3 linked regions of the Rattus norvegicus genome follow. The protein of the gene in region 3 interacts with the protein of the main gene of each other region in a pairwise test. Links are inferred from orthologs where the notes say so. Each region holds a gene or a part of one and is shown on either strand. Other genes may lie near its edges.

Evidence for each region.
Region 1: the proteins of Arl3 (region 3) and Pde6d interact in binary tests that used the Homo sapiens proteins (3 or more experiments, as listed by UniProt). The link is inferred for Rattus norvegicus from reciprocal best matches to the Homo sapiens genes ARL3 and PDE6D.
Region 2: the proteins of Arl3 (region 3) and Arl2bp interact in binary tests that used the Homo sapiens proteins (3 or more experiments, as listed by UniProt). The link is inferred for Rattus norvegicus from reciprocal best matches to the Homo sapiens genes ARL3 and ARL2BP.

The regions. Positions count from the first base shown.
Region 1 is NC_086027.1:94,640,919-94,644,418, forward strand, and holds the end of Pde6d (retinal rod rhodopsin-sensitive cGMP 3',5'-cyclic phosphodiesterase subunit delta), read right to left. Parts: intron 3,415-3,500; coding exon 3,289-3,414; intron 2,414-3,288; coding exon 2,308-2,413; intron 590-2,307; coding exon 508-589; 3' UTR 14-507; downstream 1-13. UniProt on the Homo sapiens protein: Promotes the release of prenylated target proteins from cellular membranes. Modulates the activity of prenylated or palmitoylated Ras family members by regulating their subcellular location.
Region 2 is NC_086037.1:10,345,938-10,349,437, forward strand, and holds part of Arl2bp (ADP-ribosylation factor-like protein 2-binding protein), read right to left. Parts: intron 1,229-3,500; exon of another isoform or gene 1,185-1,228; coding exon 1,078-1,184; intron 1-1,077. UniProt on the Homo sapiens protein: Together with ARL2, plays a role in the nuclear translocation, retention and transcriptional activity of STAT3. May play a role as an effector of ARL2.
Region 3 is NC_086019.1:255,385,288-255,389,395, reverse strand, and holds the start of Arl3 (ADP-ribosylation factor-like protein 3), read left to right. Parts: upstream 1-1,308; 5' UTR 1,309-1,316; coding exon 1,317-1,319; intron 1,320-1,807; exon of another isoform or gene 1,808-1,875; coding exon of another isoform or gene 1,876-1,890; intron 1,891-4,108. UniProt on the Homo sapiens protein: Small GTP-binding protein which cycles between an inactive GDP-bound and an active GTP-bound form, and the rate of cycling is regulated by guanine nucleotide exchange factors (GEF) and GTPase-activating proteins (GAP).

The DNA of each region.
Region 1 (3,500 bases), on a different chromosome or scaffold from region 3:
GTTGGAAACAGTGGCATGCTAAAGACTGTAGGAATAGTTTAATGCTTTCATTACATTATGTAATAATAATATCATAGTCTATTTTACAAGTTAAAGGTATGAGAATGTATGAAATAGAAGTGGTAGGAAAAAAACTAAATGGGTCAGAAAGGTAAATTTTTTTCAAAACCAGAGGCCAAAGAAAGCCTATAGGGCCCAAGGGAGGAGGCAGGGCAGGTGACAGGCGCAGTGTGGCTCCGAGTACGGGGTTTGTTCCCATGTTTGCACCAGGAAGGAGTTGAGGCTTATTCCCTGCCCTTGGCTGGGGTTGGGAGTTTAGTCTTGTCAGTGACGATGGAGGTTTGGGAGAAAAGCCGACTGGCCGCCTTTCAGAGCTGGCTTCCTGGTGCCACAGGTGGGTTCTGTGTTGAAGGAATCAGCTGGAGTATCAAAATCAAATGTGCAGAGGAACAAGTACAGCTTCCTCCTGCCCCTGTTCCAGATTCTTGGAAGTGCACACAAGTTCTCTCAAACGTAGAAAAGCCTCACTTTGGATGTGCTGACAAGAAGATCATCGTCAAAGAACTTTGTCTCTATGATGACGTTGCCCCTGGGGGAGAGAAGCGAGAGGGTAAAGAAAGTGAGTGCCACAGGCCAAGGCCCCCTGTCCACAGTCAGTGTCCATTTGGGTGCTTTGGGCTGGGCACATGTCCACCTAGAACCTCAGCTTGGGCCATTACAGGCCTTGTCCAGAACCAGGTGTGGTGGTGTACACACATAACCCTCCCCAAGGCCAAGGCAGGAGGGTCTGAGTTCAAGGTTACTCTGTGCTATACAGTGAGTTCTATCTCACAAGGGGAACAAACGTCAGGCACAGTGGTGCACACCGTTAGTCCCAGCACTAGAGAGGAAGAGGCAAGCGAATCTCTGTGATCCCAGGCCAACCTGGTCTATATGGTAAGTTCCAGGCCAGCCAGGGCTGCAAAGTGAGACCCTGTCTCAAAAGAGAACCAGGGGGTTGGGGATTTAGCTCAGTGGTAGAGCACTTGCTTAGCAATCGCAAGGCCCTGGGTTCGGTCCCCAGTTCCGAAAAAAAGAAAAAAAAAAAAAAAAAGAGAACCAAAGCAAGGCAAATACAATTAAAGTATCGTCTATCTGAGTTAGAGTCTTGCAGTGTTAAACTCCTGTTTGTTCTCCTAATGGAGAAAGTCAGAAATAAGAACGTGCCTTTTGTCTCGGCGCACTAATGTCTGCGGCGTGCTCTGCTTACAGATCTCATGGACACCTCTGGCTTGCTTCCTAATGGATGGCTGCAGATCCTGGGCTGACCTCAGGAAGGCAGCCTTTCCTACAACACTGAGTAAGTTGGGTGTGGCCTGCCCTGCAGTACTCTCCTGATTTTGGGTAGTGGCACCCTGCTCTTCCTTTGTGAACAGTCTCTCTTCTAGTGCCTGGGTCAGCTGAGTGACTACCCACAACCCTGCTGAGATGTGAGGTGTCACAGCATTCTAGTCATGCTAATCAGATCCACACCCCCACACCCCCAACATCTCTCCTCAGTTACTCCTTGAGGAAGGCATAATGGATTCTTGCCCTTGTCCATTCCAAGCTGCTTGGGTCTCTGCTTAGTCTAATAGTTCTATTCCCGAGGATTTGATTCTGTTGTTTGAAACCAAAGAGCCTTAAATGAGGCACCTGTACAGTGAGGACGGGGTTTACTTTTCTGGTTATATGGTTATCTCAGTGGCCCATTCTGTTTCCTTTTTCTTTTTCTGGCTGTGCCAGAAACTGAGCGTAGGCCCTGTGCATGCCAGGCAAGAACACTCCCACTGAGCCATAAATGGCAGAGCAGTGCTTCCACTTATTTTTTTTTTTTTTTTTCAGAGCTGGGGACCGAACCCAGGGCCTTGCGCTTGCTAGGCCAGCGCTCTACCACTGAGCCAAATCCCCAACCCAGTGCTTCCACTTATAAAGTGGAATATTGTGGCCACACCTAATCCCTTTGTGGGTTATTGTTTATTTTGTGCCAGTTCCCTTCCACACTGTCTCATTTTTCACCTTCATTATACCCATGAAAGTAAGGCAAGGCAAGATAAGACATTATTGTCCAAGGAGACAAGTAGTCAGAGTGACCTGGAAATTTAAAATGTGGCCTACAGTTTTTGAGGCCGTTACTTTTCACAGGACAGAAGCCAGCGACCTTGACACACCACTGGGTGCTCTTTTACTCATCTTTCTTCCCAGCTCTGCCTGCGAGTGGGACCTGGAGTCCCTGCTGTCTAAAGGCTGTTCTGGGATACACTTTGAAATCTCCTGGGCCTCACTCACGTCAGGACGCTGGCGGGCATCATCTGGGACTCAGGCGCTGCTTCTATCAAGGACTGCCAGGTGTTTGTGGAGTTAGGGATCACAAAGCCAAACTCGAAGAACCACTCTGAAGGGAAGAAGGAAAAGCCAGTGAGCAGGCGCTATCTGTGGGCACGGGGGAACCCCAGGCTGTGTCTCTCTCCATTAATGTGGGCTCTTCCTGTCCAGACCATGACAGGAACCTATCAGATAGCTCCTAAGGCACACAAAAGGACACAGGACATTCACAGCCTATCTTCTGATTTGTGCCACAGAATGGCTTCCTTCCTTCCTTCCTTCCTTCCTTCCTTCCTTCCTTCCTTCCTTCCTTCCTTTCTACAGGGTTTCTCTGTGTAGCCCTGGCTGTCCTGGTACTCACTTGTGGACCAGGGTGGCCTCAAACTCACAGAGATCCACCTCCTTCTACCTCCTGAGTGTTGGGATTAAAGGCGTGCACCACTACACCTAGGGCACACAGGACTGTCTCTTATGGGGTCTAATAGATAAGCATCAGTGAGGAGGACACATAAGCATCATTTTCCTAGGAGTAGCAAGCTCTGCACTAACAGAGGTAGGTCGCTCTACAGTGCCTACATGTTGTTCTCTTACATTTTGAGAATCGAATTCAGAGTCCTTATCAGTAACGACTTCTGATGTATAGGCATGACCTATACTACACTTCATTGTAATTGCTTCTTCCAAGATCACATTGTAACAGCACATTAGGCACGGGCACGGGCACGGGCACGGGCATGGGCACTCGAGCTTCTGGTGTCAGACAGCTCAAAGCCCCCATTGTGTCCAGTTTGTTTTGGTTCGTTTTCACTGGGGTTCCCCAGTGTTGTAGACCTTCTATTAGTAATAAGGTCAGTGTTCTCAGAGCACTGCCCTGCCTGTTGCCCCCCCCCCCTACTCCTACCCCCCTCCTGCACTCCGGCTCCAGGCACTCGAGGAATAGAATACCTTCTAGGCATTGTCCTTTGAAAAAAACTTTTTGTTCAAGGCGGAATTTTTCCATTTGCTCTGCTGAAGAAAAATTCAGTTCTCGAGACACTGCCTTGCACTTGAGAATTTTCTTGGGCACACGGGCTGGGGAGAGAGAGAGAGAGAGAGAGAGAGAGAGAGAGAGAGAGAGAGAGATATCGGGGGAGAGGAGGTCGGGGAGAGAGAGGAGG
Region 2 (3,500 bases), on a different chromosome or scaffold from region 3:
GACAGGGAGGTGGGCCCTCTGGTCATTAGCCGAGGTCCTGTGGTGTGTGCGCGTGCGCACACACACATGCTTGCACATACACCATGAGTGCAGATGGCTGCAGAGGCCAGAAGGGGGTGTTGGATCCTCTGGAGCTAGATTTATAGGGGGCTGAGAGTCACTGGATGTAGGTGCTGAGCCGCTCTGCAGTCCTCTGGGAGCCATCTGCCCAGCCCCGTGTTTTTATTTGATTTATCATTATTGAGGACACGATGTATGTGAGTGGGCATGTATGTGCCACCGTGTGCATGTGGATGTCAAAGGACAACTCCTATGGAACCAGTTCCCTTCCTCATCTTGAGCTTTACCCATTGGCCATCTCACTGGCACTGCTTTGTCACAGCAGACAAATGCAAAGTCTCCCAGTGCAGGACAAGACTGCGGTAAAGGCCGGTTTGTTTTAAACCACAAGCTGTACGCTCACCGACTACTTCATGAAAACCCTTTAGAAAAGAGCCCCAAGGGGCTGGAGAGATGGCTCAGTTGTTAAGAACAATGACTTCTCTTCCAGAGGTCCTGAGTTCAAATCCCGGCAACCACATGGTGGCTCACAATCATCTGTAATGAGATCTGATGCCCTCTTCTGGTGTCTGGAGATAGCTACAGTGTATTTATAATAAATAAATGAATAAATAAATAAATAAATCTTAAAAAAAAAAAAAAGAGTTCTAAGATCTGGCAAGAGAAAATGATCCAAACCAGATTCTAATCTGCATTCCCTTGGCAGTACTGGCATATATAAAGAGTAAACTAATTTCAATTTGTTTTTTTCTTTTTTAAAAGAAATAATCTTGCTAAACGACCTAAGCTAACTTGAAGTTTACGAGGTAGCCTGGGCAGGTTTCTAACTTGTGGCCATACTTCTGCCTCAGCCTCTTGAGTGCTAGTGGCAGGTGGCTACAGGTGCCACCAGGCTTTGCAACTTTTTTGATATGAATGTAAACATTTTAATAGTATATATTAATTATACATAACAGATCTAAGTTCAGATTTTAAGAGAAACTTTAATTTTCTGGCAGGAGAAACAGATCTACTTACATATTCATTAAAAATGGGAGTATAGGTGAGCTTATTCTCTTCAGTGTCTTCAAATTCCTGGTAGTACTTGTCCATGAAGCTTCTCTGCAGTAGCTGGAACTCAGCATCTGGTACAGTTTAGTAAATGCATTTACAATGTAGTAAAATATACCTACAATGTACAGCATAAACCTTTTAAAATAAGCACTTTGCTGGCTTATAAGTCTTTGCGACTATTTTATTTTTAGTTTTTGGGATAGGATCTCCATAAATCCATATGCTTGGTTGACCTGGAATTCACTCTGTAGACCAGGCTAGTGTTGGACTTGTAGCCATCCTTCCGACTCTGAGAGCTGGGGTCACAGCCTGGGCACTCAGGAGGCAGAGGCAGGCTAACCGGAGTATGAAACTAGTCTGGTCTACAGAGCAAAAAAAAACCCAGGGTAGACAGGGTTACATAGAGAAACCTTGTTTCAAACAAAACTGAAAAAAAGCAACAAACAACCCAAACACACCCACATATACACACATACAGGGAGGGGGGAGGGGGAGGGGGAGAAGGGGGGGAGGGGGAGGGAGAGGCCATAATCTATCGGAACAGGATACCTGCAATCCCACAAAGAGTTACCTGGGATCTCTTTAACACACCCATTTACTGTGTACACCAAAGATCAGTTCTCAAATTGGGAGACTACAATGGCAAGAAACCCTGCATCCCTAGTTTTTTTCTCTTTAAATTACATTTTCATTTATTCATTTTTAATGTGCATACGTGCACCTGCTTGGTCATGGCATGAGGCCAGAGGTGGGAGGAAAACCTGTAGGGGGTTCTTTCCTTCTACTGTCCACATACAAGGGCTTGGAACTGAATTCAGGTCGTCAGGCTGGGCAGCAGCACATTACCCACTGAGCCACCTTATTGACCACCCTTTTTAAGCTACATATTTATTTTGAGACAGGGTCTCACTGTGCAGCTGACTGGCCTGAAGCTTGCTATGGAATTTCAGGCTGGCTGGGAATTCAAAGGGCTCCTCCAGCATGTTGGGATTCATGCATGAGCCATGGTACCCATCCAAAGGATGGGCGTAGATTCTTTCCCTCTACCATGTGGGTCTCACAGATTAAACTTGGCCGTTAGGCTTGTGAGCCACCTTGCTGTCCCCCTTCCTCCTATTTTAATATCATTTTAGCAGCACCAGTGAAAACTGCATAGTGGGTTAAAGGGTGGGGTCTGTAAGAGGCCAGACTACCCCGGGTTCAAACCCTTCCTCAGCCATGTACTTTGTATGACCTTGGACAAGTGACTACTTCTGTAGATCCCAATCTTCTCATCTGGAGCATAAAGATGAATGCGGTGTCTGTCCCCTGGCTTGCCAGGTGAATTCAGAGGAGACTTCAGGTAGAAATTCACAGTAAACACTCAAGGTCAAGAAGTAGGGAATTCTGACAATCCTGAGCCAACTAGCATTTCTACAACTAAAAGAAAATCTTCAAAAGTGACCCAGAATTAATTAAGCCCATTTCTCCATGATAGGTGGGATATCTACAGTGGGCAAAACAACGGAGAACTCCTCAGGAGAGGGCTTCTGGAGAGACCTAGGATTGGAGTCAGACTCTATAAAGGTGATTTTTCAGACTAATCTAGGTTAAGCCACACACCTCAAAACAAAACAACAGGTCTTTTTCCAGTTGCTAGGAAAAGCTGAGAAGCTGCCACATTTAGTTTTCATCTTCTGTTTGTCTTCAAATTTGGATTTGTTACTGCCTGCTGACCACTTAGTAGAGTGGGAAGATGCCCAAAGGGATCTGGAAATCAGAACTAAGAAAGCAAGGGAACAGGAGACTATCGTAGCTCACGTCTGCAGTCCTAGAGCTTGGGAGCCTGAGGCCAGAAGGCAAGGAAGAACAAGGCTTGCCCGGACCTTAGACCCTAAACACAAAACTCTCGATACCAAACCAACCGTCAAGACACATCAAGAATATAGTAGTGGCTGGTTTTGTGTATAACTTGACACAAGCTAGAGACATCAGAGAGGAAGGAGCCTCAGTTGAGGAGACGACTCCATGAGATCCAGTTGATCCAAGCTGTATATAGTGATCCATTCCAGGAGAATGGATCTGTCAGTTTGAAGTCATCCTGGTCTACAGAGTAAGTTCCAGGACAGCCAGGGCTACACAGAGAAACCCTGTCTCAAAAGATAACGATAATATCAAAGACAACCCAAAAACTAAACAACAACAATTACAACAAAAGAAAATGAAGAGGGCTAGAGAGCTGGCTCAGTGGTTAAAAGCACTGACTGCTCTTCCAGAGGTCCTGAGTTCAAATCCCAGCAACCACATGGTGGCTCACAACCATCTGTAATGGGATCCGATGCTCTCTTCTGGTGTGTCTGAAGACAGTTAGTGTGCTCATATACATTAAATAAATTATTTAATAAAAA
Region 3 (4,108 bases):
TAATAATATGTAGCCCTTTCTTTGCGACAGGAATTGCTCTATGTACTTGACATGCTCGGAAAGATAGGTAACTGGTACACGTGCATCAGCAGACATCCAGAGATACCACTTCTACCTAAACTATCAGCTGTTAGAAGAGTTCTCTGTTTACTAACAGATATAAACAGCTCTGAGGAGAGGGACGTAGTGTAGCTCAGTGGCAGAGAAGGCTTGCCTGCCCAGTACAAATCTCTGCCTCCTGAGTTCAGTCCTGGAGGGCAAACGGCATTCCTACCTGAGCCACAGTGTTTACAAGCAACACTATAAAATAAAGGGTTTACAAGTTAGTTCAAGTCCGGACTCTATCATCTACACCTAGGGCTGCAAGGAAATTAAACCTCGTATAAGAAACATTCCACTAGGAAGAATGCAATTTCCACGACGGCAGGTTGTACTCCAGTGTCAAGAACCCGACCTGCCACAAAGGTAAGGGTAACTTTCCAGTGGTCCCGCTTGCAGTCCAACATGGCTTTACCAAAATCCAGAGGATCCCAGACAATTTAACACTCCCGATGCCGGCTAACCTCAATGCTAGGGACTGGTTCCTAACCTGCCTATCGCCCTCTCTCAGGGGACCTCCCCCAACCCAGCAGAAATCACCTATCCTGGAGATAGACACTCAGCCCACAACTTCTGAGCCCTAAATCCTGACACCCGAAGACAACGAGGTTCAGAAGAGAGGAATCCACTGGAGCCCTGGTCCGTCCCTCCCGCCACGCGGCTTCTACAGATGCAAGTCCAGCACGCAGTGCCTGGCAGCCACCACAGAAGGGAGCCAGGCTCCCTTCGGAGGCGCGGGGAATAGGAGTAGCTGTGCTTTTGGCTTGCACTTGAGGACTCTTACCTGGTCCCAGAGGGGATGCAGCCCGCGACAGCCACCAGACGAAGCTGACTAGGAAAGCAGAACTGAAGTGTCGCGGCTAGGCCCGGGAACCACCCCCTCGCCCTACGCCCACCTTTCCGACCAATCACAGGCCACAGGCTCCGGCCAGCCACGTGGGCGGTTTTGCACCTCCCGCAGGCCCGCTCGCCAGCTCGCCCCGCCCTCCCGCCACTCCCGAGACCGCCTGCGCAATGGGCGGGTGCTTTGGCGCGCTTGCGCACTTTGGGTAGAGAGGAGCAGAACCCCGCCCCATCCCGCTGCTCTGCTCCTTCGCTGTGCGTGCGAGGGACGTCAGGGGCGGCGCCGCAGCAGTTACCCCTGGTAACGGGGGAGGCAGGAGGAGGAGGCGGAGGAGGAGGAGGAGGAGGAGGAGGAGGAGGGACTCGGCTTGAGGATGGTGAGTGTGGGGGCCCCGGCCCTTCAGAGCTGACCAGTCACCCCCCCCTCCTGTCCCCAGGCCCAGGGCGGGGCGCTGCTCTTAAAGCGGAGGAGGACGTGGGATGGAGCTCGCCTTGCTCTTTCGGGTTCTAGATCGGTTTCAGGGGCGAAGGAGGAGCCCCTAAAGTGGGCCTGGAGGGAGGCCTAGGCCTAGGGAGAAAGGAGGGGTTTGCGATGGATCCGAGGCGTGGAGAGGGTACTTTAGTGCTTCTCTGGCGGGGATGAAGCCTAGCACCATCATCTTTCTGGGATGAAGGCGGCTCTGGAACTGCGGAGATCAGGCCGGGCTCACAGGCTTAGATCATACTGCAGAGCCGACCTCTCGGAGCCTCGGGACTGTGGGGTCCATCTGAGACCCGGCCAAAAGTGGGAGAGGCGCAGCGCTACGGTCTTTGAGATCACCCTCGTGGCACCAGGGAGCTGTAACCTAGTTTTCCTTTCCTAGATGCTCGCGTCTCTGAGTGAGAGAGGTGTGTAGGGAGTAAGTCCCAGGACAATAAGAGGTACCGCTGGAGATGAATGTCCCTGTGGTAGGTGCGCTCCTGCAGTCCCAACTTAGTCGCTGAAAGTTCTGCGAAGGTCTAATGGTTGTTGACGACCGATTTTTCGTTCCGTATTTATTCCATGTTGATAGAAGCAAATGGTCTTCGCCTCAAATGAGAAATAGAGAGTGAGCATCAATTTGAAACAAGCCTGTTCTCCGTTAGCCATAATTAAGGCCTTTCCAAAGTGTAAGTTAGGGTGTGTGACAGATTTGACGGGAGACACTCAGTTCCTTGTTGATTTTTTTTAAATTATTATTTTATTTACATGTGTACCAGTGTTTACCCTGTGTGTATGTTTGTGCACCACGTGTGTGCCTGGTTCCTGCAGAGGCCAGAAGAGGGCTTTGATGGAGCTGGAGTTATGGATGTCTGGGAACCGTCATGTGGGGACTGAACATCATGAGCGTTACTGAACATCTATCTGCCCTCCTTGTTAATTTTATACGCGGTAGATGGAGTAAAAACGAAGTTACGGGGAAATTAATATTTTTAGAGCTAGTCAAAGAAAACTTGATTTTAAAGCACTTAGTTTTTTTTTGTTTGTTTGTTTGTTTGTTTTTCGGAGCTGGGGACCGAACCCAGGACCTTGCACTTGCTAGGCAAGCGCTCTACCGCTGAGCCAAATCCCCAACCCCGATTTTAAAACACTTAGAACAGGTTGGTTGGCTTACTAAAGCTCAGAGCCAGTTACTGTTGCTTCTCTCATACACCACATTATTTTTGTAAAAATTTGGGGCCGCTTCTGTTGACTTAAGCCTAGTACTAGGGGTATAGCTTACTGGGTAGAGGTTTGCTTAGCAAGCATGAAGTCCTGAGTAAAACCATAGATGGGCAGGGGCTAAATTACACATCTGTTTTGGTATAATTATTGATCGAGTAAATTTTGACCAAAAAAATTTACAATGTCAAATTATTTAGTAGAATTATTTAATCTTAGGTTGTCAATCACACTTCATGCTTGTTACATTTACAGTTATTTCTAACCTCAGGCTAAACAGATTTTAACAAGCATTTTCTTTTTATTATTTACATATGAGCTGCCCATTTAAAGGCTGGGATTGTCTTAACAAATGAGTGCAGATATAAATATTTACACAGAAAATAAACAGATTTGAGAAAGGGGCCCTGCAACCCCTGTAACCTCAGCACTTGGGAGGTAGAAGGAGGAGCAGGAATTCAAGACCAGCCTGGGCTACATAAGACTCTGTTTCGTAATGAGTAGGTAATTTTTAAATTAATGGAAATAATTAGAACTGCAATTAAAAGACCTTGCCAGGATGTGTGTGGTGGCTCCTGCCTGTAATCCCAGTCCTCTCCATGTTAAATTAAGAGGATCACCATGAGTTAAGAGGCCAACCTGGACTACAGTTTCAGGTCGGCCTCAGCTAGATGGAGACCCTGCCCCAACAGCCATCCCCTTAAAAGAAAGAAACACATGCCAAACCAGGAGAAAATAAATGAGAAACAGTTTACTAACTTTCTTCAGTTTTTCAATTAAGTAGAGTACATAATTTTATGACTGCTTAATTTATAATTATAGGTCACAGTAAATGAACCACTGCTTGTGTTTCTAGGTGCAAATTGGCACTGTATTTAAGTATATAACAAATTGACCGTGTATATACAGATAAATATATATATATATATACACACACATATATATATATATATATATATCTTAGTGTTTTGACTGCAAACATGTATGTACACCGTAGGCATGTCTTGTGTCCAAGGAGGCCAGAAGAGGGCATTGCATCCACTGAAGCTACAGTCAGTTTTGAGCCACGGTGTGGGTGTTGAGAACTGAACTCCAGTTCTCTACAAGAGCAGTGAGTGCTTTTTTTTTTTTTCTATGTTGAATATTTTGTCTACCTGTACATATATATACCACATGAATCCCTCATGCCTTCAGAAATTAGGAGAGGGCTTCGAATCCTTTGGAACTAGAGTTACAGGCAGTTGTGAGCCACCTTGTAGAGGCTGGGAATAAGACCTGGGTCCTCTGTAAAAGCAACAAGTGCTCTTAACCACTGAGCCTTCTCTCCAGTCCAAAACAATTTTTTAAAAAAACTATTGGATTTATTAATTTTATTTGATCTGTCTTTTGCCTGCCTGTATGTGTGTGCACCACATAATACTTGCCGCCTTCAGAGGAGAACACCAGAACCCTGGGCGCTGGGTTACTGCTGTGTGGGTGCTAGGA